Caenorhabditis elegans: one gene and its partners. The protein of the gene in region 1 interacts with the protein of each later gene in a pairwise test. Each region holds a gene or a part of one and is shown in the gene's direction. Other genes may lie near its edges.

What was found.
Region 2: the proteins of fzo-1 (region 1) and tiar-1 interact in a two-hybrid assay, tested with the Caenorhabditis elegans proteins (one large-scale study listed by BioGRID).
Region 3: the proteins of fzo-1 (region 1) and sti-1 interact in a two-hybrid assay, tested with the Caenorhabditis elegans proteins (one large-scale study listed by BioGRID).
Region 4: the proteins of fzo-1 (region 1) and immt-2 interact in a two-hybrid assay, tested with the Caenorhabditis elegans proteins (one large-scale study listed by BioGRID).

The regions. Positions count from the first base shown.
Region 1 is NC_003280.10:5,831,837-5,840,022, reverse strand, and holds fzo-1 (Transmembrane GTPase fzo-1), read left to right. Parts: upstream 1-3,819; 5' UTR 3,820-3,822; coding exon 3,823-3,895; intron 3,896-3,941; coding exon 3,942-4,067; intron 4,068-4,118; coding exon 4,119-4,336; intron 4,337-4,387; coding exon 4,388-5,495; intron 5,496-5,544; coding exon 5,545-5,656; intron 5,657-5,701; coding exon 5,702-6,172; intron 6,173-6,218; coding exon 6,219-6,353; intron 6,354-6,401; coding exon 6,402-6,483; 3' UTR 6,484-6,695; downstream 6,696-8,186. Other genes in the region: lec-5 (Galectin), read left to right, coding at 1-158, 205-313; ZK1248.19 (Beta-catenin-interacting ICAT domain-containing protein), read left to right, coding at 697-782, 833-1,067, 1,112-1,309; ZK1248.15 (WW domain-containing protein), read left to right, coding at 1,480-1,728, 1,778-1,915, 1,967-2,114, 2,163-2,411, 2,461-2,858, 2,902-3,135; col-74 (Nematode cuticle collagen N-terminal domain-containing protein), read right to left, coding at 8,092-8,186; gtap-1 (Dynein heavy chain 7, axonemal), read left to right, coding at 6,791-6,847, 6,893-7,012, 7,059-7,162, 7,212-7,284, 7,337-7,471, 7,517-7,992. UniProt on the Caenorhabditis elegans protein: Probable transmembrane GTPase. Mediates mitochondrial fusion. Fusion of mitochondria occurs in many cell types and constitutes an important step in mitochondria morphology, which is balanced between fusion and fission.
Region 2 is NC_003280.10:5,710,064-5,717,793, reverse strand, and holds tiar-1 (Cytotoxic granule-associated RNA binding protein tiar-1), read left to right. Parts: upstream 1-2,970; 5' UTR 2,971-2,988; coding exon 2,989-3,131; intron 3,132-3,203; coding exon 3,204-3,300; intron 3,301-3,437; coding exon of another isoform or gene 3,438-3,501; intron 3,502-3,636; coding exon 3,637-3,732; intron 3,733-3,939; coding exon 3,940-4,360; intron 4,361-4,438; coding exon 4,439-4,623; intron 4,624-4,669; coding exon 4,670-4,954; 3' UTR 4,955-5,443; downstream 5,444-7,730. Other genes in the region: C18A3.3 (putative rRNA-processing protein EBP2 homolog), read right to left, coding at 1-18, 66-373, 724-946, 996-1,210, 1,262-1,372, 1,416-1,487; C18A3.10 (uncharacterized protein), read left to right, coding at 2,194-2,249, 2,293-2,441, 2,489-2,499; lelo-4 (Late ELOngation arrest), read right to left, coding at 1,544-1,712, 2,671-2,870; osta-2 (Organic solute transporter alpha-like protein 2), read right to left, coding at 5,690-5,859, 6,225-6,378, 6,427-6,517, 6,793-6,903, 6,953-7,191, 7,242-7,396, 7,562-7,670. UniProt on the Caenorhabditis elegans protein: Acts downstream of ced-9 in the induction of germline apoptosis under different stress conditions including starvation, osmotic, oxidative, heat shock and UV stress.
Region 3 is NC_003283.11:769,750-776,316, forward strand, and holds sti-1 (Stress-induced-phosphoprotein 1), read left to right. Parts: upstream 1-3,768; 5' UTR 3,769-3,841; coding exon 3,842-3,853; intron 3,854-3,907; coding exon 3,908-4,034; intron 4,035-4,088; coding exon 4,089-4,571; intron 4,572-4,625; coding exon 4,626-4,966; 3' UTR 4,967-5,026; downstream 5,027-6,567. Other genes in the region: str-238 (Seven TM Receptor), read left to right, coding at 2,088-2,225, 2,270-2,724, 2,769-2,836; srbc-58 (Serpentine Receptor, class BC (Class B-like)), read left to right, coding at 5,246-5,420, 6,352-6,567. UniProt on the Caenorhabditis elegans protein: Plays a role in gonad development. Up-regulates longevity and thermotolerance. Binds daf-21/hsp90 and inhibits its ATPase activity.
Region 4 is NC_003283.11:16,785,754-16,794,405, forward strand, and holds immt-2 (MICOS complex subunit MIC60-2), read left to right. Parts: upstream 1-3,513; 5' UTR 3,514-3,625; coding exon 3,626-3,649; intron 3,650-3,695; coding exon 3,696-3,833; intron 3,834-3,882; coding exon 3,883-4,731; intron 4,732-5,510; coding exon 5,511-5,777; intron 5,778-5,835; coding exon 5,836-5,930; intron 5,931-6,291; coding exon 6,292-6,654; intron 6,655-6,703; coding exon 6,704-6,932; 3' UTR 6,933-7,020; downstream 7,021-8,652. Other genes in the region: Serine/threonine-protein kinase dkf-2, read left to right, coding at 518-1,267, 1,326-1,411, 2,089-2,220; pus-1 (Pseudouridylate synthase 1 homolog), read right to left, coding at 7,090-7,503, 7,960-8,295, 8,542-8,652. UniProt on the Caenorhabditis elegans protein: Sustains mitochondrial morphology probably through maintaining cristae morphology. May act as a component of the MICOS complex, a large protein complex of the mitochondria.

The DNA.
Region 1 (8,186 bases):
AGATACAATGAGGGAGCTGTTGTCAGAAACGCAATGACTAGCAATGTTTGGGGAAAAGAAGAGAGAGAAGGAAAAATGCCACTTGATAAGAAGCAAGTGTTCGATATCACCATCATCAACGAAGAGTACTCTTTCCAGATCTTCCTTAACAATGAAAGGTTTCAAATTCCTTAATTTTACTGATTTTAATCAATATTTTTGCAGATTCACCACATTCTCCCACCGTGGATCGCCAAGCGATATCAAGACTCTTGAAATTGATGGAGACGTTGAAATCCAGACTGTCACCATTAATGATGCTCCAGGAGTTTAAATTTTTGTTTTCTGAATATATTTTAAGTTTTTATATACTGTCCAGATCTAAATAAACATTCTAAGTTTCCTTATCCGTAGCAATGTTTTGTTGGCAGACTACAATAGCTCGATTTTCATGGAAAATGTTGCAGACTCTGTTTAGAATTAAAATTTCCTATTCAGAATTCGATGTATTCAACTTCAAATTGTCCGAATATAAAGGAATACTGCAAAACTTTTAAATACCAAACATTTTTAATCCAACTTTGAGGTTTTCCAAAAACATGCACTTTTGCGTCATGGTGTTTGCGTACACTCGATTTACGAAATGCATTTTACTTGACGCGCAGCATTTTTGTTTGTTGTTTTTTGCAAATTCCTCTTGCAATTAATTTTCTCGTCATGGGAGTAGACGATTTGCTTATTAAAAATGCTCAAAAAACTATTGATCGATTGATCCGGCAGTTAGCAGAAATAGAACAAGAAGAGTGAGTGAATTTTTTGTTTGTTTTTTACTTTCAAATGTTTCTTTGTTCAGGAATAATCTCGAAGAAGACGAATACAGGGAATTGCGTGAAGACACTGTAAATCAACTTCAGGAATATGGAAAAATAGTCGAACGCCTGCAAGGCGGAGATGTTTCTTTAATTGATGATCTCACGGCGACTAAAATTGCGATTCGAACAGCAATAAGTAAAGCCTTCAAAACACCTGAAATTATGGCTTTATTTGCTGGAAAACATACTGGTCTTTTACGAGAAAAATTGATGATGGTAACTAATCTCAATGATATTATCGTTTAAAATTTAATTTTCAGACAGAAACCAACTACCGATCTCAAAAAATGCCGAAGCAAGGGTATCTGGAAAGGAAATTTGAAATTTTGATGGCACTGAGACGCCTTGAAGAAACATTAACAGAAGATGAAAGGAAGTTTCTCAGTGATCGATTAGAAACACCAGAATTCCAATTAATTGAGGCAAATGCGAATCGTCTTTTCAGTGGAAATGTGTAATTTTTATTAAATTATGAATTTTTACTTGTATATAAACTATAATTTTTTTTTAATGTTTTTAATCAAAAATCGCTTGTTTTATATCGGTTTTAACCATGCTGCTCAATTTATCTTTGTTTCCCACGAATGATTTTATTCCTAGGACCTCACCAGTTTTCAGAGTACAAATAATGGCTTCTCCAAAAAAACCAAAAAAAGTTAGGTTAGATGATAAAACGGAAAATGTATCACCTCCATGGAAAGCCTGGTGGCACACGGAAAAGAAACGGAAGTTTTATACGAATGATAAGACAAAAGAAAGTTTATGGGATCATCCAAACACCCGAAAAAATGAGGAAAAATCTCCGGTTAAAGCGAAAACGAGAAAACGGAAAGATGTAGAGGAAAATATCCATGGGACCATGGATGATGATAAAATGGTAACTATTAATTATCAATTAACAGATTAATTTATTCATTAAAATTTAGGAAGTCGATGTGGTACCCCCGCCAAAGCGGAAGTCTATGGAGAAGTTGGATGATGAAGAGTTTTCATGGAAGAGGCCAAGAAGATCGGACAGTTCGGAGAGAATAACGAAAAAAGAAGACATTCCCAGCTGCAGTGGCGTTAGTGTTGATATAATTATTAAGCTCTTTTAAAATAAAAATCAGTTGCAGGTAGAATCTCATTCCAATAAAATGCTACCACGTGTTCCATGGTCTTCTGAAGTTCGACCATTCAAAGATTTGCATTATCGTGCGTGTGCCATATTCGATACCTGTGCTCTTCTGGGAAATCCTGATGTTCTCAATGCTTCCATCGAAAGTAAAATATAGAGAATGATATTATTATTGAAATTTCTATTATTTTCAGAACAAATTCTCACAGTCATTCCATATTTTACATTATCTGAGCTAGATGGTCTTAAAAACGGATCAGGACACACTCGAATTGTAGCTAATTGTGCAAATAATAGTATAAAAGATCTTCTGGAAGAGAAGAATCAGTACTTGCATGTCGAGACGAGCACAGAGCAACAGATTCAGATAAACGGCTTCAGTGCAAACACAACTGTTGTAGATGATTTGATTCTAAGAACTGCATTGCGAATAAAAAGAGAAAGTAAGTTTTTTTCTTAAATTAAGATTCGAGAATATACCACAATTTTCAGTAATGTCAATTCCATCTACAATGAACCTCAATGATCGTGCTATTATACTCGTCACCGAGGATGTGAATCTTTCAAACAAAGCACTGACTCATGATCTGCACGTTGAGACAGTTAAATCATTCATGGACACCATTCATGGTCGGAAGAAACAACAAACGGATTCGGATCAACTAAATAGTTCAAGGAAGTCTTCGAATTCTGATAGAAGACAAACTACTAGGAAAGAACATCATGCTAATTCTCATTCTAACAAATACACTAGCAACGACATAAAATACAAAAGGAACGAAGCTGTTAAAAGTGTAAAGAAACATCGCGAATTGGAAAGTTGGATCAACGACTTAGCCAAAAAAGATGCTGGTCGCAATGCTGGTTTTGTTAAAGAAAACAAAGTAGAGGTAACAAAAAATTATTATTTTGTAAATTAAAATATGTTTTCAGGCTCCCAGAAAATCTCGACCATCGATCCCACTAGCAGACGAGATCACTCTTCAACCGTCTTCCTCAAACTCGGAATCATTTAAACCAAGAAAGACATATCCCTCATCAACATATCAATCATCTCAAAATGGAAACGTAGTCAAGACGACCAAGCCAAATAGTAATCGCCCAAAAATTCCGTTAAGCCTTTCGGATGACGAATGTACCTTCAACGACAATATGGATTGTTCCTGAATATTGTTTCCTATTTATAATTATGATTTTTCTGCATTCCTGCATCCGGTCTCATTGCATGTACGGTGTACTTTAGTGAATTATTTAGTGAATAAATGTTTTTTATGTTTTTTTTTACTTCAAACTTAATAGAATACCGCTAAATCAATAGAAATGTTTCGATTGTTTTTGCTTTCTAAATATATAAATCCAAAAAGCAATCAGAAGTTTAAGAAGAGACACTGCAGAATTTCAAGAACGGGGGCTTGCTGATTAAAAAATTTGCAGCAAGCATTATTCACAAATTTTCTACAAACTGCTTTCATAAAGTTTATTTATATCTTTTAATGTTTAAAACGGCAATTTAAAGCACAGTAACTTTTCTTAATCAAAAATAGTTCGATAGACAACTAATTTTTCTCACAAATCGTTGTCTCCCGATAATCGATTCTTTTGTGTACAGAGAGCGCGCTCCAGTGAACATTCTTTTTTTGCTCGCGACGGAGACAGAAATGGAAATTCTCTGATAATTCGAGTGTTCCTTTTCATTTTTTTTTATTATTCCAATGAATAATTTGATGTTTGTATAACCTTTTCGATATTTCAAATAAGATTTAATGTTTTCTAGACTTTTAAGCGATTTCGTAATCCTCGAATCGAATTTCCGGCTGATTTATGAGACTTTAAATATATTTAAGTTTTCAGGTAATGTCTGGCACAGCAAGCTTAGTTCATACTCTGCCGGCCAGTGGTGATTCTAATCATCGTGGACTTCACAGCTGTATGTTTATTCAACCTTTCAAAAAACAATGCAATAAACTTTTCAGTGAAAAATTCGCGTCGTGCTGCCGATAATGAACCACTTCTTCGATTTCGAGAAGCTAAAAAGGTTCTTGGGGATGTCTATGGAGAACTGAAAGACAATGTGGCTGAACTAGAAGGTGTTTACAAAGGTATTTTCTGTTTTTTACTTCGCCGCAAATATAAACCCACAAAAGTTCCAGATATTAAAGAGAACGACTTTGTTAGTTCTGAACAGCGGGAAGAAATCGAAGCAATTGGCGATTCAATCAAAACTATAATGGACACATTTCAAAGAGATAACATGAAGGTTGTATTTTTCGGAAGAACCAGCAACGGAAAGAGTACAACTATCAATGCGATGCTTCATGAGAAAGTGTTGCCCCAGGGAATGGGACATACAACATGTTGCTTTCTGCAGGTGAGAATCACTTTTTTTTCATATTTTATTGTAAATTTTTGAAATTTCCAGGTTGAAGGTTCAGAAGGCGAAGTTGGCCATCTACAATTAGATGATAATCCCCAAAAGATTGATATGAAAATGCTTGGAAAAATTGGACACGCACTGAGTGACGAAAATTCAGATCTTCCGGCAATGGGACAGGATTCTCTTTTGAAAGTGTTTCATCCAAAGAAATCGGAATCAGGGGAATGCCGACTTCTTCAAAACGACGTCGTCATACTTGATAGCCCTGGTGTCGATCTTTCTCCAGAATTCGATAGCTGGATTGACAAACATTGTTTAGATGCAGATGTATTTGTGCTTGTATCAAATGCGGAATCAACATTGACACAAGCCGAAAAGAACTTCTTCCTTCGAGTCGCGAAGAAGCTTAGCAAGCCCAACGTATTTATTCTCAATAATCGATGGGACGCCAGTGCAGCAGAAACAGAAAACATCGAAGATGTAAAAAAGCAGCATTTGACGAGATTCCGTCAGTTTTTGGTCGATGAGCTTGAAGTGTGCTCAGAAAGAGAAGTCAATGATCGAATCTTCTTTGTTTCATCGAGAGAAGTTTTGGAATCACGATTAAAAGCTAGGGGACTGGTACAAAAAGCCTATCAAGCAGAAGGTCATGGCACAAGAGCCTTGGAATTCCAAAATTTCGAACGACATTTTGAGCATTGTATCTCTCGATCGGCGATTCACACGAAATTCGAAGCTCATAACAGGAGAGCTCATGAAATGATCGGAAAAATGCGGCTCAATCTGAATAGCGTGCTAACCTCTGCAGCTGAGCAGAGAAGCAAGCTTCAGAATAATCTAAACGAATCCACCAGGACTTTCAATGAATGCCGTGTAAACTTCACTCAATTTGAAAAAGCTTACCGTGAGCAGACAGAGCAACTGCGAGCCGAAGTTCATCTGAAAGTTTCTGCTGATTTCTTTGAAGAAATAGCACGACTTGATGCAATAATTGATCGATTTGAACAACCTTTCGATGGAAGCTCTTCCGGAATGACAAAGTATAAAGAGGATTTGGCAATCTTTGTGGACAAATGTTTGAGCAGTGATTTGGAAGCTAGATGTACCGGTGGCCTAATGTCAAGAATTTGGAATTTGGAGAATGATATGTTCCGTAAGTGTTTATCTGGGAACTGATGTGTTATAAAAAATTTTTTTTCCAGAATATGTGACAAAAATCCTCGCCGAACCTTATCAGAATAAGCTTGAAGAAGTGTGGCGATATCGTGCTCCTTTCAAATTTAGCATTTGTGTCGATGTCCCTGCTCTTGTCAAGTGAGTTTCGATGGATTTTTTGTGTTTCATTCTTACATTTTTCAGTGATTTCCATGAAGACCTCGAGTTCCGATTCACATTTGGTCTACACGCAATAATTCGTCGCATCATTGCGTATCGAAGCGGCCAACCTGTCACTGCAATCAACACCAATTTGCTTACTCCATTATCACTAAAACAACAATCCGAAAAGAATTCAGTGAGAGATGCAGAAGCTTCTGCAGCTTCCGAAGAACAGGCAATGATGACTCAAATGGTTTTGACATCAGCCGCATTTTTAGCAAACGGAAGTCTTGGAGTGCTAGTTGTTGGTGGTATTGTGTATAAGGCTGTTGGTTGGAGAGTAATTGCTGTCGGAGGAGCGGCCTACGCTGGACTATATGCATGGGAACGAATGCGCTGGAATTCGGGAGCCAAGGAACAACATTTGAAAGAACAGTTCAGATCACATTTAGCTGCTCGAATGCAACAAGTTTCAACAGCTCATACTCATCACTGTGAAACACAAGCTATCAGGTATTTTTTAAACCGTATAGTTTTCAATTCAATTTGTTGTTTTCAGAGAAATGGACCAAGTCTTTGACGGATTGAAAGCAACTGTTGGTGGAGTCCATAGAGAAATGAAAAACGATTTGGATGTACAGAAGACACAAATTGATGCAGTTGATTCAACAATTCGAACATTGGGAACAATCAAGTATGTCCTCTTAGATCTGTGTCAAGAATTAATAAAATTAATTTTCAGAGGAAAAGCAGTGTTTCTTCTCCGAAATCTCGAACAATTTGCATCTTCTTATCTCCGATCGGACTCTCCGCCAACGCCATGAAAATGACTAGTCTGAATTTAACTAATTTTGGTGCTTTTCCCCTTATTCACTCAGTCCTATAGCTTTTAATTCGAACGATTGGTAATCGGTTCAATGTAGATATTTTGATGAGCTGTTTTCTCGTTATTTCTAGACAATTTCAGTAGTTTTAGTGTTTTGATTATGATACTTCTATGAGACGAATAATAATTCGAATAAATTTTTGTCGTTTGATTTTTGAGAAGATATTCAATTATCTGTATTTATATTCATCAGAATTTCTATTTATGTGTTGTGGTATTTGAAAATAGGAAAATATAATTCAGGTATGAATGAAGACGACGATGTTGGAATTTCTGTGGAATTCGATCAATGCACGCAGGAGGTACTGTAGGGAACCAAATATAGAAATAGTTAGAACAAATTTCAGACAATGTTCTACAATTCTTGTCTAGAAGATCGTGACGAAGGAGGAAGCGGAGACATCTCACGTGCTGATTCTGCAGTATGTCTCACGACACCTAGAGATCCGTTTCCAGCTGTTCTACAGGTAATTGAAGATGAACGAAAACTTTTTATAAACTGTTTTTTTTTAGAAGTTCAACTCATCTCGTAAGAATCATCAAATAAAAAAGTTTCATGATAGCAATGTAAAACGATGTCAAGAGTACAGAAAGAGTATGGAACATCAAAGAAATGGGTAAGAAATTCGGATTTTCAAAAACGAATATTAATCATTTTATTTTGAGAACAGACAGTTATTTGCTCACTCAACAACGGCTCGCTGTTCATCTCATCGACTTTATTGATTTACCTGTTAAAGTTAGTTCAAAAACTAAAATAATTTTTATCAAAAATAAACGTTATAATTCAGAAAAATACTCAACGAAGAATATGCACTGATCGTGTGTCGATGCCTCTATACAGATTGACGTCTGGTGGTCTTGAAGTGAACTCGGATTATTATTTTCCAATGGAATCTCCGTATGCGAATATTCAAAAATCTTATGTAAATTTTTAATATTTCTTCTATCAATTATTTAAGTTATTTTAGCTACGAACACTGGCCGACCACCTCACTCGAACTCATCGGAAGCTTAACGAAATATGTGAATTTGTGGAGAGATGTGAAGAACACAGTCAACTGATGCTTCCGACACTGATTACTGTACTCTGTGATTGGGTGAAACAATTTCTTAGAGATCACGCTTGTCATCTCGACGAACTTCGTGCTGAGCGACTGGAAGATCCTTTACAGACATTGGCTCGACTAAATAAAAATATGGAAGAGGTGGAAATAGTGAGAGCAGTGATTGGCGATGATGTTGGAAGACATATTTGGTTATGGGAAGATATTGAAAACTCTTGGAATCGTGTATTCCTGTTAACACAAATGGATGCCATCGCAAAGAAGAGGGATGTTGTCAAGTTGTTACAAAATAAATGGATTCGCGCTTTGTTGTCAATTATGGATCATATTTTCGAAATTGGAAGAGTTCCTGCAGCTATCGACTATTTTGTTTTGCACAAGTGAGTTTCAATTTTATGATTTTTAAAGTTTTAAAACGTAAGATTCTTGCTTGAAAAATTTATATAAATATTTAAGAGAAGAAAAATAAATAATCGCATCTAATGACGTCTGTTCTTGTATCCCTGGTTTCCATTGACTGGTGCACTTTCCTGTCTTTGAGGACATGGACAATATTCGGCATCAGTTCCTGGCT
Region 2 (7,730 bases), 120 kb from region 1:
CCGAACAGATCATTGAAGCTGAAAAAAATAAAATAATTTCAGGAAAGACCGATGAAGCTTCTTACCTCTCCTTGTTGTTTCTCTTCATTCCCTTCTTCTTTCCTCCATAACCGAATTTATCCGATTTCAGTTTTCTTTTGAGTTCTCCTGCGTTTCTCATCGATCCTCCTCTTCCAGCTCCACCTCTTCCGGCACCACCTCTTCCTCCTAGACGGTCACCGAATGCTCCAGTCGGTGCGTCATCATCCTGATCAAGACCATGTCTTTTCACGTTGTTCAGCATATCTTCCAATTGTTGTTTCATTCCCTTTTTGTGCTTCTTCACAGCTTCTGCGAGGTTCTTTTTCTCTGTATTCTTGGCAGCGAGAACTTCCTGAAAAAAATGATATTCATGTTCAACGATTTTATTTTTGTAAATTCTACAAAACGAATCAGAGTAAATAGCATGTTTTACCAATATTTTAAATTTAAATTTAGTGATGGAAAATAGAAAAAATGTTTTATCTGGAAATAGATTTTTATTTCAGTTTGAAACAATTGCGAAGTGCTCAAAAACTGTATCAAAGTTGGATATTGCTGCAAAAAAATTTTATCCTGCAACTTTCAACTTGCAAACATTTTTGAGTGTTTGTCCAATCGAACCATTAGAAATTAAAGTTATTTTTCCGTTATTTTAATTAATTTTTAGGCTGAAATTTTTCTGGTTTTTTGAACAACCATTACCTTCTGAACCTTAACAGCAAACTTTTTCTCTTCACGAATACGGCGGAATGCTTCTTGTCGTTCCTTCATTTCTTGAATTCCGAGAAGTCTCTTGCGAACTTTCTGCATATGAGTGTCACTCTTTGCCATCTCTGCATAGTAATCTGTTGGTCGCAGAACTTTGATACCAAGATTCAGAAGACGTGGATAGGCGATTTGAACAGCTTTTTCAGCTTGCTTATAGCTTTAAAAAATTAGAATTTTCGAAATTATACAACCCTCGTGCAACTTACAAATTCAACTCTCTTTGGAAGTCGTCATTTTCCACTTTCTTGTCCATTTCAGAATGAGGAGTTACCACTTCAAGAGTCTCAACCCATGGAAGATCTTTTGTGATTTCAGCCAATTTTTCTTTCATTTCAGCACTTTTGTTGATGATCGGACGCTTTTTGGCTACTTGAATGTTGAGTCCATCTTTAAGAAGACCAGCAGCGAATGCGGCTTGGAGCTGCAATCAGTTTTTTTTTTTGAAAATACTTTTTAAAAAAGTAATTCTCACCTCTCTTTCATCGTCATCGCCGTCTGATTCAACCTCTTCGATATCCATCGCTTCCATTGGTTTTTCCTCGATAGCATTATCGAAGTCAAATTCGGATCCGTCGGAATCGCTCTGAAATTTTGAATTATTTTTTAAAACAAAGTATTTTCCTCACTTCTGGTTCCGGTTGACGACTTTTTGAAGTGCTGGCGAGCCGCTTGGCGAGCTTATTCATTTTACGAACCATCTGAAATCGATAATCAATAAATCCATTAAAAATTAGAAAAACACAATTATAAAATATTAAAAACGCTGAAAACGTTTTCTTTTGAAGATCGAAGAATAGTAAAAAATTAACAAATTATTATTACAAACATTCACAAGAACAAGAAAAATATAATACATGAAAACAAAAAAATTATTAACAATTATTATTGCACATCGAATCGAGCACCAATGAGAAGACGGCTGGCTGAAAGTTTTTAAATAATTAGCTTGCACTAAAAAATTAACAAAATAAATAGTATTTTAATACATGAAACTTTGACAAGAAACATTTTATATCGGTAATGTGTCTTCCCAAAAAACAGCCAATAAATTCTTGGCCGAACTGCGGCGCATTGAAATTTCTCTTCCACAAAAGATTTCTCGTTCATAATGCTGCGTCCAAACCCGAAAAAATCTCAAATGTTCTTCATTTTTTTAAATTGAACTGATAATTGAAGAGAAAAACGATTATCGGAAGCAGCATAAAGATATATTGACCCGAAAATTTACGAAGAGACCCCCAGAAAACATTATTTAGATTGAATTTTCTCTTTGAACAAACACATGAATAGGTTTTTAGTCTATCAATTGATAAGAGTCGGAGTGCAATGGTATGTGCGATGTGACTCATTTTTCTTCGATTTTTTGTACAATAAGAAACAATTTTTCAGAAAAATTTAATGAAAATGAATAAGTCTAAAGATCGAACACCTACAGTATCCACGATTGAGAGCTATGGAACGTAAGTTTTAGAATCAAATTTCTATGATATCTGTACTTTACAGAGATATGCCGCATGAGCATTATCGTTACTATAGAGAAAAAAATATATGTGGCATTTCTGGACCAATATGCTTTTGTTCAACTCTGATCTTAGTGGGATTTTTGATTTTGCTAGGAATTTTGGCGATAGTTATATTTTTCATACTTCATCGTGAGTACTAGACGTCCAGTTCTTAATATTAAGCATGTTCTTTACAGATACGTTATGAAACGAGTGGTCAGCTTCTCACTATCAACGACAAAATTATATTTCTTACTATTCTAAACCCTAAAAATGGATTTTCAACGTTTATACATGAATGAAAACATATTTTACGCCTATTGTTTGATTGGAATGAATTCTAAATTGATTTGATGTTTTAAAACTTTAAAATACTCACCATTTTTGCGGAGGAACGGGCTGAAACTTAAAATTATTTGCAGAAATTCGAAACTGAAAACTCTGTTTTGAATTGCCGCTTGAGTAAGATCCGCAGGGTGACACGCAGCGCACTGACCGCAACGCTCTAGACGACACTTGCGAGCATAGTTTTGAATGTGAACGCAGCGTTCCCGCACTGTTTTTATTGGTTTTTTGCATGTTTCTTTGTTTTTTTAAGTATTTATTAAACGTTTATCTCTCTTTACGATATTACGACATAAATTATTTTCTATCTTCTTATTCGTTTTCTTTTTTACAGGGATCTATCATTTAAGCCATGTCCTTCTTCAACCCACCAGCAAACTCCAACCATGGTTACAATGACGACGTCAATACTGGTTACAATGCCCGAATGCATTCAAAACTCGCCGAAAGAGAGGGATTTCATCTCGGAAACGGTTCAGATGAACCAAGAACTTTGTAAGTTGGGTACATTGGAAAGTTTCGAATTTCTTGTTGAAAATTGTCAATTAATTTACTCTTTTGTTGCAGGTATGTTGGAAATCTTGATTCGACAGTCACTGAGGACTTTATAGCGACTTTGTTCAATCAAATAGGATCGGTTACAAAGACCAAAGTTATTTTCGACGTAAGTTTTTCGCTTTGGAACAAGACTAATCTTTACAGAAAACTCTTGCTTGCTCGCGGTACGTATGATTTTTATCCGCTTTTATTTTTACTTTTAAATGTGAATCTTTTTGATTATGATGTTTTCTAATTTCACAGGAATTGGGGTACCTGGCTACAAATGCACAAGGCGGCAACCAATCCACACCGACACTGAGACAGTGTATACCTTTTTCTTTTGAATTTTTTGTTGTTTTAATTAAGTACTAAGAGGAAAACATGCGTTTTGAATAGATTTTCATAGAGATTGAGAGAAAACCCGGGAAATCAAAGTATTAGTCAAACGTTTTCATTTCAGGGTTCTAATGATCCATATGCGTTCGTTGAGTTCTCTGATCATGGACAGGCTTCCCAAGCTCTTCAGACGATGAACAAGCGACTTCTTCTTGATAGAGTATGTTTTATTTGAAACGACAAATTAACTCCTGTATAAAAAACAAAATTTCGATATGATTCCACTGGGTTCCGATGTAAAATTTGTATTTTTTTAAGTGTTAGCAATATAGTTTATTTGCTTAAAAAATTAAATTTCGTTTATGTGTCATAAATAAAAAAAAGTAAATGTGAAAACCTATTTCAAAATCAAATTTGTTATTTTCAGGAGATGAAAGTCAACTGGGCCGTGGAGCCGGGGCAGCAGCAGTCAAAAATTGACACTACCAGACATTTCCACGTTTTTGTTGGAGATCTCTCGTCCGAAGTTGATAACCAAAAACTGCGCGAAGCTTTCCAACCATTTGGAGATGTTTCGGACGCCAAAGTGATCCGTGACACTAACACCACTAAGTCAAAGGGTTATGGTTTCGTTTCATACCCGAAAAGAGAAGAAGCTGAGCGTGCTATTGAGCAAATGAATGGACAATGGCTCGGAAGAAGAACTATCCGTACCAATTGGGCTACAAGAAAGCCAGGAGATCAAGAGAAACCAAGCCATTATAATGAAAAGTCATACGATGAGATCTACAATCAAACTTCTGGAGATAACACTTCAGTCTACGTCGGAAACATTGCTTCACTTACTGGTAAGTCAACAAAAATTTAATATTTTATAATACTTTCATTGAAAAATTCTAACGTCGAATTTATAATGTTTTTTGCAGAAGATGAAATCCGCCAAGGATTCGCCAGCTTTGGACGAATTACCGAAGTCCGCATTTTCAAGATGCAAGGATATGCATTTGTGAAGTTTGACAACAAAGATGCCGCTGCAAAGGCTATTGTCCAGATGAACAACCAAGATGTCGGAGGACAGCTTGTTAGATGTAGCTGGGGAAAAACTGGAGACGTAAGCGTTTTGATTAATTTTTTTAGTAAGGAAAATCTTATTTCAGACTGGAAAAACTCCTGGAGGATCTTATGGTTACGGTTATGGAAACTCATCGTCTGGAGGAAACTCACAGCCGTACTCTGGATATGGTGGTGGCGGAGCTTACGGAGGTGGTCAAGGAGGAGGAGGCCATGGAGGACCTGGACAACAGCAATCCAATGCCAACAGTCAGTATTGGCAATACTACGCCCAATACTACAATAATCCTCAACTCATGCAACAATGGTCCAACTACTGGCAGCAACAAGGAGGAGCTCCACAACAACAGAACTCTGGAGGACATCAATAAACTCCAGTATTTTTTAAAAACATTTTATATGTGACCCTATTGCCCCCGGATTTTGTCATTTGAACTTAATTCCAAGTTCCACCCATACCTTAATTTGTCCGGCTGTGGCCTTTCTGTCAGTTTTCTCTTTCTCGGCATTCTAACGCACTTTTCTATTTATGATTTCCTTTTTTTCTATGTATTTGTTATAATACTTCCCTTCTGAAACAATCTGTTGATCTTTTGACAATCATTATATCAAATTTTTTTCTGTTTTTTTATTTGCTTCCATTACGTGTCCATTCCCCACCCACACCACTTCATCACCTAATCAATATGTCTAGATTCAAAAAGAAAAAATGCACACAAGCAAACCCCTAAATTACACTGGTAGATTACAATGTTTCGTTTTCTTAATTTTGCAATGGCACGTATTCTTATCTGGTTCTGTCTTTTTTCGTTTTTTTTCCTGTTCCTGAAGCACAATAATAAATGCGAGGGTAAAGTCTTATTGAGTTCGAAAATGTTTATTTCCATTTCTGGGGGTTGAGGTTCTACACGTTTTGGGATTTTTAAATTTTCGGTTGTTGCAAATTCCAGCAAAGACATTTTGCACACAGGACGAACGGGTGAGACAAAGGGATGAAAAGTTAGTTGACATCAGTTGACTAGAAAATGCAATAGAAAGTGGAAGAGGATCACGGATTGAGAAAGTAGGGGGAAAAGCTATTGTATATGAAGAAAATGATAATATTCTCAAGTGGTCGACTCGTCAGTGTCCACATCAGTTATTGTGCTCCGCGCAGAGCTCATCGATCGGCAGCTTGGATGTTTGTCAAAGAATGATGATTTTGATGGTTGTAGAAGTACAGTGCTGATTAATGTGACACAGAATGCTTCAATTACTGTGAAGAAGTTCTTCCAGTCTGCAATTAAATTGGATTTAATGATAATTCGATTTTTTTTTTATTCAATCGCGAAGTTTTGTGATTTTTACTCCGAAAGTACGGTACCTGGTCTCGACACGACAAATTTTTGTTAAATGCGAAAGGATGTGGGCCTTTAAAGAGTGGTACTGTAATTTCAAACTTTTTTTGCTGTGTACTTTCTATTACTTTTCCAGAGAAAAACTAAGAAAAATCGATGAAAATCCCGCAGCAACGAAAGTTTGGAATTACAGTACTCTTTAAAGGAGAACACCTTCTCGCATTTAACAAAAAATTTTCGCGCCGAGACCTGGCGCAAAAATCGCAAAAACTTCGCATCTGAGTAATATTTAATTCAAACTCACAGAAAGAAGTCTCAATTGCTGGAAGTACAGTACCACATCCAAATGCTCCATATCTCGCGAGAAAATCAAAAACTGGTTGTTGCAATCCGAACACCATGAAGAAGAAATCAAGAAGACGGAATACAACAACATATCTGTACGAGATTAATTCATCCTGAAATTTAATGAAAAGTTATAGAATAAGCTTTTATTTAATTCTTACCATCCGAGAAACCGTTGTGACTAATATGTGAGTTCCGTAGATTCCTGCCAAAAGAGATGGAAGTGTGATAAAGTCGAGCACTTTTAGTGGGCTGAAATGAAAAATAATTATTAAATGGAGATATCAAATTTAGAAATTTAGGAATGGGCAGACTTTTAGAAAAATAAATTCAGTTTTTCTTCAATAAGTAGATTGCTTTAATGGCAAATATGTCAGAAAATATTGAATAACTCGGGGGAGAATTGCAACATTCTCGTGGATACTGTAGCCACAACATTTTCTTTTTTTTCAACGTTTTAAACAATATATTTGGAAGCAGCAGGTTTCTGATTATCAATTCCATTTAGAGTTTTTGAAATTACTCACACAAGGCCCTGATCTTGATATTCAAAGTAGATTACAAGCGAGACAAGTGTGGCAAATAAGCGAACGATCGGCGCTTGCATTACCATCAGCTCACACCATCTTATCTTTTTTCTGTAAATAAATATTCAATTTCAATTCTTCTTCTATTTAATAAACGAACCCTTCCAGTCGGACTTTTGGAAGACATGGAAATAGGCAACAGAATGGAGGTGTTGCTATCTCAACATACTGTAATCGCTGCATCATTTTCGTGACAAGGGCATGATGTCCATCGAATATGTGTAAAAGTAGACATATGATGACCCAGAGAGCAAACGAAAAATAGAGAAACGAGAGAAGATGAGACAAAAACCATACACGTGGCATGTACATTGCCACAAGTGCAAGTAGGGAAACTAGCTGAAAGGAGAACGAATTGAGTTCGAGGGTTACAGTAGCTAGAAACCTACCGGCGCAGTGCATGCCAGAAGCACAATGTGCAGTCGTCTACTGGAATGTGTGATGTAGAAGTGAATGTAGATGAGATGTAGAACTGCAAGGCATACTGTACCCACGGTTACTGCAGTTGCCACGGCCAGCGAGGCAATATATGTGGTTGTGAGCGCTGAAAATTCATTACATTCAATAAACTTTCAAGGAAAGTTAAACACAAATCACGGATTAGCTAAGTTGGAGCCTCTAAAGTTTCAAAAGTAAAAAAAACATATAAATTCTGACCACAACATTCTGGCATAGGTGCAATTGTAGGCACTGGAAAAAGAAAACTCACATCTAAGAAATGTTTTTGCATGTGGTACATCTTCATGAGTTCCTGTACAATTGAGTAATGAATCTGTCAAGAGCTTAACCAACGTCTCCCATGGTGATATTTCCAGCATTTTTTGATTGTTTTCAGTTGAGTGTTCGCAAATCGATCGATTTCAATTCGTGGTGGTGTG
Region 3 (6,567 bases), on another chromosome or scaffold:
AACCGGATATGCATCCAATTGCGAAGGTGTTTACTTCTGCTAATTTCGAGTTGCTCGGAAATAAATTAATTTCAGAAAGGCGGAAAAATCTGTATTGTAGATCTAGGACTTACATCTCACACACTCCCCACCGAACAAACTCCAGGATTCTTGGTAAGTTTTTTTTTCCAAAAATCTGGCATGATCAAAATTGTTGACTTTTAGAAAAGACTCGGAGAGAACGTTGGAGGATCAATTGACTATAGTTATGAATCGATTGACGAGTTGATCCGCACTGCTCCGGATGCTTGGTCTAAAGCTTCAATGGGTGCAATTCGAGGTGTTATGCTCATGGTCAGTTTTAGTTACTATCTTGAATTTGCAATTAATATTGGAGAAAATTTCAGCAGGAACTGGTTACTGAGCGATCAATGCACCCGAAAAGTAAACCAATGGAGAAGAATCGTTTACTTGTATGTTTATAAGAATGGAACGATTTTGAGCATTTGAAAATGTTATTTACAGGGTGAAGAAATGGCAAAATTGAACCCTAACGATTTTCTGAACCACAAACTGCTGGAAGTTTCGAGTTTGGATCAAACTGGTATACCAAGAACATAAATAAAAACCGCCCCCAAGAACATTCTATTTCAGTGTTTATCAACGTCAATCTCGTGTTTTCGGCGCTGAGCATTCAACATGGCTCGGTTAGATCAATTGTCAATGCTATGTCAAATCACTGGATTGACTACGTGAGCGATCAAATATTACGTTCTATTTTTGACTATTTAACATTTCAGCTGATTCCGAGAGAGCAACAAGGATCCTTCACGACAAGCAAAAAGACGGAGCCTCTTACTTTCTTCCCAGGAGACTTGACAAATTGGCCAGCCGGTTAGTTTATGATTTACATGGGCGAGCCACATAAAAATCGTTTTCAGCTCTTCTCGCTGCGGCAATCAAGTTGGACAACGACCAGGTGGACGTTACTCGCCTTCCAAGTGTGGTCAATATGCTGTTCAAGCATCATATCAAAGTCAGATTGTAGGTTTCTTGTTATTTACTTTAAAAAGCCAGCGAATAGAATTTTTCTTTAACTTGAAAAACTATGTTTTCACAAATGTCTTTTTGCAGCGATCATGCCCGTGGTTTGTATCGAACAAAACACGACGGCCAGAATCCACCAAAAATTGTGCTGCCAAAGCGTCCCATCATCGATTGCACACAATTCTACAAGAGCAGCGAGGATATCGATGAGGAGCAAGTTCCATCAACTTCGAACTTTCAATCATCTTCGAACTCTCTATCAACTTCGAAATCTGCTGGAAGGGAAAATATCCCAGACTCCCCATAAATTCACTAGTTCTCCTGTTTTCTGATACTTTCGAAACTTGTTTTTTTGTTTTTTTTTCCATTTTTCGTTAAATGTTTTTTTTCTGTTGTTTTTTCATTTTGTTTCATTTTCATAATAAATCGTGTTATTTTTTATGGTTTTATAAAAGTTTAATCCAATATGAAAGCAAAACTAGCTAGCAAGAAAGCATAACTACGTAGCAAAACATCACCGCTAATCAGCGGAAAAGCACAATTACTGCGGTTGACTAAGCCGTGACATAAATGCTAATTAGCAGTGATTTTCTATCGCTCTGCCGTGACTCCAGTCTATCTGAGGGGTACTGTAGGGGTACTGTAAGGGTACTGTAGTTTAGGAAAAATTGACTTTTCGTGTTTAGGAAGAATATTGGCTTGGGGTTAGACTGTCGCAGTACTGTAGAGGTAGTGTAGGATTACTGTAGTCTTGGAATATCTGACTTTTCGTTTTTTGAGAGGATATTGGTTTGGATTTAGTGGGGTTAGATGGTCGCAGTACTGTAAGGGTACTGTAGGATTACTATAGTTTAGAAAAAATTCACTGAAGTTTAAAGGAAAAGTCGTGGTGAGACCTATCATGGCTAAAGCCATTCGTTTTGGCGGGAATTCAAATTTTCTGACTATGAGAAAAAATTTTGGCAAGAAATTCAATTTCTGAGAAAATAAAACTTTCTAGAAAAATTTTGAAAATTGTGGAATTAATATAATAAAAATTTTAAAACGTTAACCTTTTTCAGCCATTCATTTCTTAAAACAAAATCACTCCGAAAAACGTTGATCTGGCTCTTGATTCCTGTTATCTACGGTTTCCTCTGGGCAGTCAATTTATATTGTACACTATGGGTCAACACGGATACTGAACAGATATTACAGGGGTGAGTAAAATGAAATGCTTGTTGTACTCTGTTGAACTTCTCAGGAATGGGTATTTACGCGAGAATAAGTTAAACATATCCGACGTAACATATATTGGGCCCAACTATTGGAAACTTGATGAAAATAGAAATGAAGTTATAAATTGGAGAACAATGTTGGGAATGTCTATTGCATCGACACTGATCTCGATTTCCTTCGCAATGATTGTCATTTTTGCAACTTTAAGCTACAAAGAGGTCTCCAAGCTAACCGAGCTGACTTCCCACTCCGAAAAATTCCGTTCAATTCAACTGCAACTTTTAAATTCTTTGGTGTTGCAATCACTTGTCCCGGCGTTTTTCATACAGTTGCCATCGTTCGTCCTATTTCTGGCGCCTTTTTTTCATTGTGGAAGGCCAGTGTTTGGCGAGATAATTGGTGTGACGGTTGCTCTATACCCAGTCTTGGACTCACTTCCAACAATTTTAGTGATCAAGGCTTTCCGTGAAGCAATATTTCGTGAGTAAAAGTTGCCAGCCAAATAAGTTGAGTGTATTTTCCAGATTGTTGCCCATTCACTAATAAAAATGCTACACTTCCCACATCCGTAGCACTGGTTACTATTCAATAATAATACATTCAATTTAAATGATAGAAAATGGACTGTATAACTTAATCGAAACTTGTTTTTACACTTTGCAAGAATCTGATTATTTTAAAATTTTTGTAGATCACAACGATATGGGACATTATGACACCACGAGAGAAATGTCTGAAAATTTACACACATCAAAGTATATACAATAAATCGGTCATTACGGCTCATTTTCTATCTTTTAAAGTAAACATTTTGCGTCAAGAATACGGTAGCCGGTCTCGACACGACAAGCCTTTGTCAAATGAGAAAAGGTGTGCGCCTTTAAAGAGTACTGTAATTTCGAGCTTTTGTTGGTACGGAACTTTTATCGATTTTTTTTTAGAATTTACGTGTTTTTATTTGTTTTATTCAAGTCTTTTTATTAAATAATAACAGTTGAGACGAAAATATGAAAACTCGATGAAAATTCCACAACAACAAGAGTTTGACGCTACAGTAATCTTTAAAGGAGCACACCCGATTACATTAAACAAAAATAGTCGCGTCCAGACCTGGTACCATATTTTTGACCAAAAATATTCATTATTCCGCGAATTAATGATAACAAAAGTCAGAATTTTGTTTAGTTTCGGGAAAATTCGGAGCAAAATTCAGAAAAATTCAAAATTTGACTCGATGCTCGTTATTTTCCGGAGTATCTGTATTTTTATCGTGAAATCCAGTTCACATTGGGTATTCCGGGCGCCTTTACTTTTCTTTTTTAAATTTCCTAATCAATTTCTATATTTTTATGTATAAAAATCGATCTAAAACGAAACGGGTATTATTTAAAATTCAAGCGTCTCCCGCCAAGCGATTATTTTCTCTGCGTCTCTCTCCTTCGCACACTCTCTGCCTCGCTCGCTCAATAGAGCGCGTTTGCCATTGGCAAATTTTCTCGAAGAATTCCTCATTTTCTCGATTCATTTCCTTCTTTTCATCGTTTCTGCTCACTTTTATCTCATTTTTTTTTCAGATTTTTTCAATATTTCGGCAAAAATGACGGACGCCGTAAGTTTTTCAACAATTAATCAATAAAATTCAACTAAAATTCCCTATTTTCAGGCGATTGCTGAAAAAGATCTCGGAAATGCTGCCTACAAGCAAAAGGACTTTGAAAAAGCTCATGTTCACTACGACAAAGCGATCGAGCTTGATCCTAGTAATATTACCTTCTACAACAACAAAGCCGGTAGGTTTTTATTTAAAAAAAACTGTAGATTTTCCCTAATTTTCCGAATTTCAGCCGTCTATTTCGAGGAGAAAAAATTCGCGGAATGTGTGCAATTCTGCGAGAAAGCCGTCGAAGTTGGACGCGAGACCCGTGCCGATTACAAGCTTATCGCCAAGGCCATGTCTCGTGCCGGAAACGCTTTCCAGAAGCAGAATGACTTGAGTTTAGCCGTCCAATGGTTCCACCGCTCGCTCTCCGAGTTCAGAGACCCCGAGCTTGTCAAGAAAGTCAAGGAGCTCGAGAAGCAGTTGAAGGCGGCCGAGCGTCTTGCCTATATCAATCCAGAGCTTGCCCAGGAGGAGAAGAACAAGGGAAACGAGTATTTCAAGAAGGGCGACTATCCGACAGCGATGAGGCACTACAACGAAGCGGTGAAGCGTGATCCGGAGAACGCGATTTTGTACTCAAACCGGGCCGCGTGTCTGACGAAATTGATGGAATTCCAGAGAGCTCTTGATGATTGTGACACTTGTATTCGGCTGGACTCGAAATTTAGTACGATTTTCTAATTTTTTTGCTCAGAATTAACTAAAAATTGTATTATTTCAGTCAAGGGATACATCCGCAAAGCCGCTTGCCTCGTCGCAATGCGTGAGTGGTCGAAGGCTCAGCGAGCCTACGAAGATGCTCTCCAAGTCGACCCATCCAACGAAGAAGCCCGTGAAGGTGTGCGTAACTGTCTGCGAAGCAACGACGAGGATCCCGAGAAGGCCAAGGAGAGAAGTCTCGCCGATCCAGAAGTTCAGGAGATTCTCCGCGACCCAGGAATGCGTATGATTCTCGAGCAGATGAGCAACGACCCGGGAGCCGTGCGAGAGCACTTGAAGAATCCGGAGATCTTTCAGAAACTCATGAAGCTCCGCGACGCTGGAGTCATTCAGATGCGCTAATTATTTGATTGCTCCCGGTTTTTCACCCATTATTTGATTTTTATTTGAATTTTTCTCCCCCCCCCCCCCCCCATGGTCTGTGTTTTTTGCATCTCGCTCGTCCTCTGGACTCGTCTTCAAAATATAAAAATATATTTATCGTCGTCGCAACTAAAAGACAAACAAAATCTCATTAATTTCAGACATTTTTTTGTACTTCGCACTACAAAATTGTTCATTCGACTGGAAGCTGAACCAAAAAATTCGTCGAAAACAAAAAAGTCACAACTTCCTTCCCTTATGTCTTCTTTGGTGACGTCGGTAGCGATTTCAGCGATTTTTTTCACCGAAATCAACGTTTTTCTGAATTTCTACCTGCTTTCTCAAATATTTATACGAAAGAAAATCCAGAAAAAGCCAGAATTATCACTGATTTATTGCCGTTTTCTAATCGACGTGATTTATTCTTTCGATAGTGAGTTATTTTTAAGCGGAATCTAGGAAATTTCTCCAAATTTGCCCGATTCTGCTCGAAATCGCGAGTTTCTTTCCCCAAAACCATTTTCAAACGCGCGCCAGGGACATTCTCATTGGAGCGCGCCGCGTGTGTCGATTTACGAGAGTTCGCATTTTTCTCGAGTTTTTTGCGGAAAAAATCGAAATTTCAATGTTTGAAGCGAGAAAAAGTGATGAAAAAAAAGGAAATTCATTGAAAAAATCGGAAATCTGAAAAATAAAATTTTCTTATAACCTGAAACATGGTAAAATCTTAATGTAAGTGTTCAAATTATCAGTCATACGTAAAAAACGGAAAAATTATCGGCAATTTGCCGGTTTGTCGGAAATTTCGAATCCGGCAATTTGCCGATTTACCCGAAATTTCGATTCCGGCAATTTGCCGGTTTGCCGGAAAATTCAATTTTAGCAATCTGCCGATTTGCCGGAAATTTTCAATTCCGGCAATTTGCCGGTTTGCCGGAAATTTAAATTTCGCCAATTTGCCGATTTGCCGGAAATTTCAATTTCGGCAATTTGCCGATTTGCCGGAAATCTTCAATTCCGGCAATGTTCACGTCACATATTTCTGGCGAAAAAGTTCCCGCATTTATTGTAGATCACACCGAAATGGGACAGCCTGGCACCGGGATTCCCAGTCAGGGGTTGGCGGCAAACAACTTTTCCGGCAAACCGGCGAATTGCCGGAATTGAAAATTTCCGGTAAATCGGCCAATTGCTGGAATCGAATTTTCCGGTAAATCGGCCAATTGCCGGAATTGAAGATTTCCGGCAAACCGGCAAATTTCCGAAATTGAAGATTTCCGGCAAATCGGCAAACCGGCAAACTGCCGGAGTTGAAATTTCCGGCAAATTGGCAACAAACAAGAATTAAAAAAAAACAATTTCAGCATCAATATTTTTGATTTATTCCCTGATAAAAACGCTTTTTCCCGAGTTTTCTGTGAAAAACCTGGCATATTTCGTCGCTTGGCCCGGCTTCAACTTGGGAACTATTCGCTGCTGGATTGTATTTTTTATAACATCCGATAGAATTTTCGCAACATGCGCTCCGATTTCATATCACAATCATCGATTCAAAATTCCGCTCGCCGTGATTATCATCC
Region 4 (8,652 bases), on another chromosome or scaffold:
CGAGAAAGTTGTGAGCCGCCACTGCGACGCAACAGTGTGCGGAGCGGCGGCCGAGCTTCACAGCCTCTCGCTGAAACTCTTCCATCATAAGATATAAATTGATAGCATTTAACTTTAGTCTCGCGACCTATAGTCTGACAATTATTTTTTATTTCTTTTTTTTTTCTGATCTTCACGTTTCTCGCCCTTTCGTCACACACAGGTCATCCTGTACTTTATCAATTTTTCGATTTGTCTCGGACCAAGACTATATAGAGATCGCATTACACATCAATCGTTGACTTTTTACGTATGCCGTCGTTAAATTGCGACACAATTAGGTGAAGATTGATCGGGGGAGACGGATTCTGAAATCAACATGTTTTCCTGTTTTTTGAACACGCGCCACTGCTGCCGGAAGAAAATTTGGCGAATTTTAGTTGCAGTAGAACTGTTTTTTAACAAATAAATAATGGGATTTGCACAATTTTTTTTGGCGAATTCGATGATGACGTACAACTATCTTGTTTTTTTTCAGGAGAAACTGGGCACCTTGGCGCGAAAATCCAAACGGAACACGAATTCTCACAACTTTATCAAATATTCGCTGAAGAAGTCCTCGGATCCGGACAGTTTGGTACTGTTTACGGAGGAATCCACCGACGAAATGGTCAACACGTCGCCGTGAAGCTCATCGATAAGCTGAAATTCCCGCCGAACAAGGAGGATCTGTTGCGGGCTGAAGTGCAGATCTTGGAGAAGGTCGACCATCCTGGGGTGGTTCACTTCATGCAGATGCTTGAGACGACTGATCGGATCTTTGTTGTGATGGAGAAGCTGAAGGGTGACATGTTGGAGATGATCTTGTCCAGTGAGAAAGGAAGGCTTTCGGAACGGACTACGCAGTTCCTGGTGGCTCAGATCCTTGAAGCTCTCCGTTACCTTCATCATTTGAATATTGTGCATTGTGACTTGAAACCGGAGAATATCCTTCTCAACTCGAACTCGGACTTCCCACAAGTCAAGCTTTGCGATTTCGGATTCGCTCGAATCATTGGAGAGAAGAGCTTCAGGCGGAGTGTCGTCGGAACGCCTGCCTACCTGGCGCCTGAAGTTCTACGGAACAAGGGATTCAATCGATCGCTCGACATGTGGAGTGTCGGTGTGATTGTCTACGTCTCACTGTCGGGAACGTTCCCGTTCAACGAGGACGAGGATATCAACGATCAGATTCAGAACGCCGAATTCATGTACCCGCCGACACCGTGGAAGGAGATCTCTGAGAATGGTAGGGCGAATACTTTTGTTAGAAAAGAATCTGTGAGATTTATTGAATTCTTTTGCAGCTATCGAATTCATCAACGGACTGCTCCAAGTTAAGATGAGCAAGCGGTATACGGTGACGAAAGCGCAGTCGCAGATCTGGATGCAGGTAGGCATATGGAGACCTTTTTTGGGTCTCGCAGCGAAAATTTTTTCGAGCTGAAAAAGTTAAAAAAAGAAAATTAAAGATTTTTTCTGTGAATTGAAAGCTGAACTTTTTTTTACTTTCTACTGTAAAAATTGTGAAAAAAAATTCTAAAATATTTTTTTAACGAAAATTTAAAATTTTCAAAATTTGGGGAAAAAACACAAAAATCAGGAAAAAATACGAAAATCTCTTTTTTTTTAATTTGAAAAAATCCGAAACATCGGCTTTAAAAAATTTCGAATTTAGAAAAAATGTTTGAAATTTTTTTTTAATAGCAAAAAAAAGTTTTACCTGCAAAAAATCGGGAAAAAAATCCGAAAAACTTAGAAAAAAATTGTATTTTTTTAATTTGCAATCATTTTAAAATCATATGAAATTTAGAAAAATCCAAAAAAAGTAAAGAAAAATTGCAAAAAAAAATAATTTTAATCCAAAAATCCGAAAAAAAATTTACTTACAGAAAAATCGGTTTAAACATTTTTTTAAGGATAAATAAAAATTGTTTTAAGCGCAAAAATCCTTTGAAAAAAAATAATACAAATTGCAAAAAATGCATTTTTTTTTTGTTGGTTTTTCAATAAAAAATAATTTCGAAAATTAATTTTTTTACGAAAAAATTGAAAAACTTTTTTTTTCAGAACTACACCCTATGGTCGGATCTACGAGTACTGGAAAAAGCTGTCGGTCAACGATTCGTAACTCATGAAAGTGATGATGTGAGGTGGCAGGCTTACGAAAAAGAGCACAATGTGACTCCGGTCTACGTATAATATCCAGCAGCAGGACCCCCAGAGAAACTTTTCATATTTTTTGCATCTTCTTGTCACATATCCATTTAAATTTTATTTCGTTTTTTCTTGTTTCATAATTTTTTTTCCAAATTTTCTCACTCACATTCCCTGTGTTCCCACACCCATTTCTTAAAACATTCCTAGTCGAAAAATCCTCCTAATTTTTACGTTTTTCCCCGTTTTTCACCAAAAAATCGGAATCCAACCCCCACCCAGCGCACACAAAATTTGCCATATGATCCTCGAAAATTTCCCGATTTTTTTCCAAATTTGTCCAATTTTTACCAAAATTTGTTCTTTTCTATTCACTTTTCACCGCAAAAAATGTTTGAAATTTCATCAGATTTTCTTGTCTAATGATACGCCCGAAGATTTATTTATATATGTGTATGTTTTGATTGAATTATTACTTTTTCTTTATTGAATGAATTGGTGTAACTGAAAATATATTTTATATTTTTTTGCAAACAAACAATGACAATTTGATCGAAACAAATGAGGAAACAAATTTTTTTATTTTTTCTTCCAAAATTGTTCCATCAGAAAAGCTAGATTTTCCAATAATTTAGACACAAGTTGTTAGGGCTAGATTGTTTTGTTCTGGAAGTTCAAATTTCTGAGAAAAATCATTTTCCAAGTTTCAACTATAGAAATCGCACCTAAAAAATTGTTTTTGAATTATTGGAAAATCTAGCTGTCCTGTTGAAGCAAATTTGCATTTTTTGGAAAATACTTAAGACAAACATTTATTTCAGCTAGATTGTTTTGTTCTGGAAGTTCAAATTTCTGAGAAAAATCATTTTCCAAGTTTCAACTATAGAAATCGCACCTAAAAAATTGTTTTTGAATTATTGGAAAATCTAGCTGTCCTGTTGAAGCAAATTTGCATTTTTTGGAAAATACTTAAGACAAACATTTATTTCAGCTAGATTGTTTTGTTCTGGAAGTTCAAATTTTCGAATTAGAAATCGAACCTAAAAAATTGTTTTTGAAATATTGGAAAATCTCGCTGTTAGAACGCCAGATTAAACTAAAAAGTTAGAACGCCAGATTAAATTATGCAGCAACCACCATGAAGTCGCTGCCGATGAGCTTTTGTGCGCGCTTGGGTGCCGATTTGAAATCAATTAGCTGAGAGGAAACCATTTTTCCAATGAAGACTCTTCTGCTTCGCTGAAATTTGCCAAAAAATGTCAAAAAATCTATCGAGTTCACAATCCAGGACTACGGTAGACTTTGAAATCTGCATTCTGACGTGACCGTGTACACGAAAGTACGTGACACGTCAAACAGATTTAAAAATCTTTTTTATATAATTTTTCCAATTTTTCAATCATTTCGAGCGGTTTTGAGTGTTATTCTTCAGATTTTTAATTCAAAAGTCATGCGTGGAAGTCGTAATTTATTGGTATGTTCATATTTATTAAATATTAATCAAATTCGGGAACTTTCAGACTCAGCGACTGGCTTCTTCTCGAGCAACTGGTTCTTCGGGAGGTCTCAAGTTTGTCGGAGCCACTGTTGGAGCGGTAACTGCTGGTGCAGCAGGAGTTGCTGGATACGCTTCTTATGATAATGAGTTCAGAAAGAAGGTTTTAAAATTTAAAATTAAAAAAAAACAAAAAAAAAATCAAATTCCAGCTAGAAGGCGTGATTCCCGGTTCTCGAACTATTTTGAATTACACGATCGGAGAAGAAGAACCGCCGGCGCCTCGTCTTAAAGATCTTCGACCTCTGCAATATTCCGCAGATCCGAAAGTTCCACCAAAGCCATTTGAGCCGAAGCCCGTGAAAAAAGAGCTGATCGGAGTTAAGGAGAACCTGAAAGAGACTACTGAACCAAAGAAAATCGAGAAAAAGCCCGAAAATCCATACATCGGCGCGAAGACTCCACTGAATCCCCAGGAAAGGAACGAAAAGCTCACGGAATCCCTGAAAAACCACCTAACTCAAGCCGAAAAAGCCACGAAAGTTGCGACTAGCGCCAAATTGGAAACGATTCGAGCTATTGAGCATCACGTTCAGACAATTCGTGAGGCTATTGAAGCTGGAAAAGACGGAGATTGGGATTCAGTGACTGTTGCTCATCTGAAGGCAAAACGGCTCGCTGAAAAGGATGAAAAAGCCGAGAAATTGGCTAGAAATGCCGTCGCTGACCTTGTCACGGAGGCAAACCTCGGCGGTCAAGGTGAGACTACTCAGCTGAATCCACTGGTTCCAATCTCAAAAGCAACTGCTGAAAAGCTCTCAAACGAGCTGGATGAGATGATTTCAAACGTGAAACATGTCGATTCGGAGCGTATTTTCGTGCATGACTACAGTGATCGTGTAGCGGAGAGCCGCAGGAAATTCCAAATGGAACTGAAAGCAGTTCATCCGAATTTGAATTATGAAGATGGAATGAAGATCAAAAAAGCGGATTTGCACACGATTTTGGCTCATGCTCACTTGAGAATTGATCAGCTCAGCCAGAAATTGATTGATAGCAAGGCAAATATTCATTTTTTTGGCATAGTTGTAAAGAAAATTGCGTTTAAATCTCAATTTCTCCTCTAAAGTCGATTTTTCGAATTTTTCCTGTGAATTAATGCATTTTTTCCTGAAAATTTTGAAAAAAGAACGAAAAAAAATTGAAAATTATGTGTGTCGATTTACGCAGCTCGTGTACTCCCCGAGGAGAAGTTTTATTACAGTTTTTCAGCTGAAATGCTTGATTTTGGACTATTTTCACCTAAATTTAATAGCCAAATCGCAAATTTATCACATTTTACTATTCCACTAGAAAAAAGAAAAATTCCAGTTTTCAAATAGTTAAACCGCAAAATGTGGTTTTTATGTATCTCTAAAAAATAAAAAGCGATAGTTATGTGAAAATTGTCGGTTTGGCTTTTGAAAACAGGCAAGAATGGTCTAAAATCGCGAATTTCAGCTGAAAACTTTAAAAAAAACTTCTCCACGGGGAGTACACGATTGGCGTAAATCTACACGAGACGCTGGAAGAGTTTTACACGGTCATTCTGCAATTCTGGCATTTTTTCCGATTTTCCGGAAAATATAAAATTTTTTATAGAAAATTAACAATTAAATTCAATTTAAAAAAACATGATTTTCTTAATTCAAAAATTAAAGCCTTTTTTTGAAAATCTGTTTTTTTCAGATTTCAATGAAAAATGTTAATTTTCCCGATTTTTCAACAAATTTCCTCAAAAAGAAACCAAATTTTAAATGTTTCAGCTCCGAATTCCCGTTTTTTATCGATTTTTTTCCAGCTAAACGAGGAAAAACGCATCCAATCGATCATTGCAAAGAAGAAGGAAGATCTTCTCGAAAAGCTTCGTCTCGAGACCAATGCCAAACAGGCCGCAGTGATCCCAGAGTTCGATAAGAAGAAGCTCGACGCGGAGCTCGCTCGTGCCACTGCTGAAATTCAGAAAAAATACGACGAAAAGCTGAAAGAAGTCGTTCGAACTCAGAAGCAGCTGTACGATATTGAGCACGCGAAGGATGTAGATGAAGCTGTTCTGAAGGAGAGAAATGTATAAAATTAACGATTTTTCCGGATTTTATTTGTTTAAAAATTGAAAAAAATTTCAGCTCCACTCGTCGGCGGTCGGAAAAGCGTTGGCTCAGCTGGCTGGAATTGAAAAAGCGCTTTCTGGACATCTTCAAATGGATATTGAGAATAGAAAGTACTGGATTTAATGTCGATTTACGCGGGCTCTTGTACTACACGACGAGAATTTTAAAGTTTTTTTTCTGAAAATCTCAATTTTGGAGTACTTTTCCTGCTCTTTACCCTTTAAAATGACCAAAATATCCTATTTTTGGCTGAAATTTTTGGTATTTGGCAATTTTTGCTTGATTTTAGCATTCCAAATAGTCAAAATATCGATTTTCATTTAAAACTCGATGAATTATTGATATTTTGACTTTTTTTTTAGTTAAATTCAAGCGTAAACAGTCCAAAATCGACAATTTCAATCAAAATCCGCCAACTTGTGCGAAAATGTTTTGAATCAAAATCTGAAAAAAATCCCACCATTTTTCCAGATCGAAACAAATGTGGCTAGCCACCCAAAATCTGAAGGGAACTGTAATTTTCGGAAATCGAGCCAGCTGCTGCATGGAGGGAAGACGTGCTCCACTGGGAGATCAAATGAAGACACTTCTCTCGTGCTGTGGTGGTGGAAACTCTGATGAATTCGTGAAAACCATCAATACGGCAATGTCGAAAACCTCAAAAGTCCGCGGGGAGTACACGGAGCAGGATCTGAACACACGCTTCAACAAAGTCTGCCGAATCGGACGTCGTGTTGCCTATGTCAATGAAGGTGGAGCTCTGGCTCATCTCTACTCGTGGCTCAAGTCTTCCCTGACTATTGAGCTCGTCCCGAAGAAGGGTGCTAATGAGAGGTAGTAGTGTCTGAAATGATATCTATCTGTAAAAAAACTATAATTTCAGCCTGACCCCAGCTGTCGAGAACAACTTCACCTTGCTCACACGTGCCGAGCAACTCTGGAAGTCTGGCAAAAAGTCCGACGCGATTCGTGTTCTTCAGCTGACCGACGGGGCCACCCGTAGAGTTGCTGCCGATTTCATCGCTGATGCTCGCCGCCAACACGAGGCACTTCTTCTTTCACGTCTTCTGCTCGCCCACGCGGCTCTCACCTCCATTCGTTCCACTTATTAATAATTATTGAATATGCCAAGTAGTACGTCGTCTGTTGTCTGTCTGAGAATTATGTGTTCTCTCAAAATAATAAAATTATTATTATTTTTTACTTTTAAACAATTTATCAATCAACAAAAACAACAAATTTTACAGCAGTTAAATCAAAAATTATAAATTATCCAGACGACGTCGCTGCTACTGGCTCAGGAGTGACTTCTGCTGGAGCCTCGGCTTCCTTCGGAGCATCTTGAGCCTCTGGAGCAACACCATCCTGCTCCTTGGCCGCCTTGCTCGCACAAGCCGCCGCCATCGTCACAAAAGTCTTCTTCTCGGGCTCCTCAGCTTCCGCATTAGCCGTGAAGTCGTGATGAACAAGATCCGCAAGCCATTTGAGCATTCCCTGAGTGAGCAGCTCCGTCTCGATCATATCCTTGGTGATGAGCTCGAACTTGGTCCGCTCGATTTCTTTTTCGATGATCTCTCCCCAATCGGTCAGTGGTTCGTGGGATTTTGAATTCTTTCGATCGTAGGAATCGTAATGAGTCCGCTCGAGGAGGAGACCCAGTCCTGGAGCCATTGGGATATCCATCTGAAATTTTTTATTTTTTTAAGTTTAAAAGTTTTCGGCTAAAATGCTAGATTTTTGCACTTTTTAATCTCTTTTTCATTTGGATTTCGTTAGAAATTAATTATTTTCGTCTAAAAAAGGTGTTAAACTCGTGAAAAAGCGGCAAAATTGCGCGAAAACTGTTAAATTTTGCGGAAAATAATTCGAAATTGTCCACGAGGAGTACACGCTTGCGTAAATCTACACAATTCTTAAAGGGACATGTACCTCGTGCGCGTGATCTCGCAACGATGCGCGTTTGCCGCTTCAAAATAGGGTTTTTAAAATATTTTTTGGTGAAAAAGATTTAAAAAAACACAAATAATGTTATATTTTCACACTTTCGACGCGAAAATATCGAAAAAATGTTTAAAAATTGTGTTTTTTCGACTGTTTGAAGTTGAAAAAACACCGAAAAAACAGGAAAAAAACACGAACTCGCTGTCCCTCGAATGATCTTTGAATCGACGACTTTAAATGCAGTTCCCGAATGACTGTAATCACCATTCCGACCATTTTTCGAATCTGATGAAGTACAAATGATTGTCCTTTAATCACAATTTGCACGAATTCCACGTCTTCTTTACGAAAATCGTCACGAAAAAGGAATGGTTCTTTGCATTCGAATGAGATAATGTATCGATTGGAGCTCATATCATCGTAGGCTCTTTTAGCGGTATAATTGAAGAAATTGTGGGTTCCGAGGTAGATTGAGAGAATACTGTTCACCTCTGCCAAGGTTTCCGGGGAAAGTCGGAAAGAGGAGTTGGTGAGCTGGAAAATCAAGAATTTTTAGAGATTCTCACGGAATATCAGCGGGAAATTCGATTTTTCGATCAATTTTTGCCCGAAAATACAGGTTTCCAGTCTTTTTTCGCCTGAAAACTTGATTTTTCAGTCTATTTCCGCAGAAAATTCACATTTTCAGCGTGAAACTAAAATTTTCGGTCAAACTTTGCCGGGAAATTCAATTTTTCAGCTAATTTTCGGCGAAAAATCCAAATTTAGCCTCTTCTATACCTCCGTAGGCTTTGCAAACACAAAAGATGGACACGTGTAGCTATAGGTTCGATGATCACACTGCTTCTGTGGATGGAAGAAATTCGTGGTCCGACGCATTCCAAAAACACG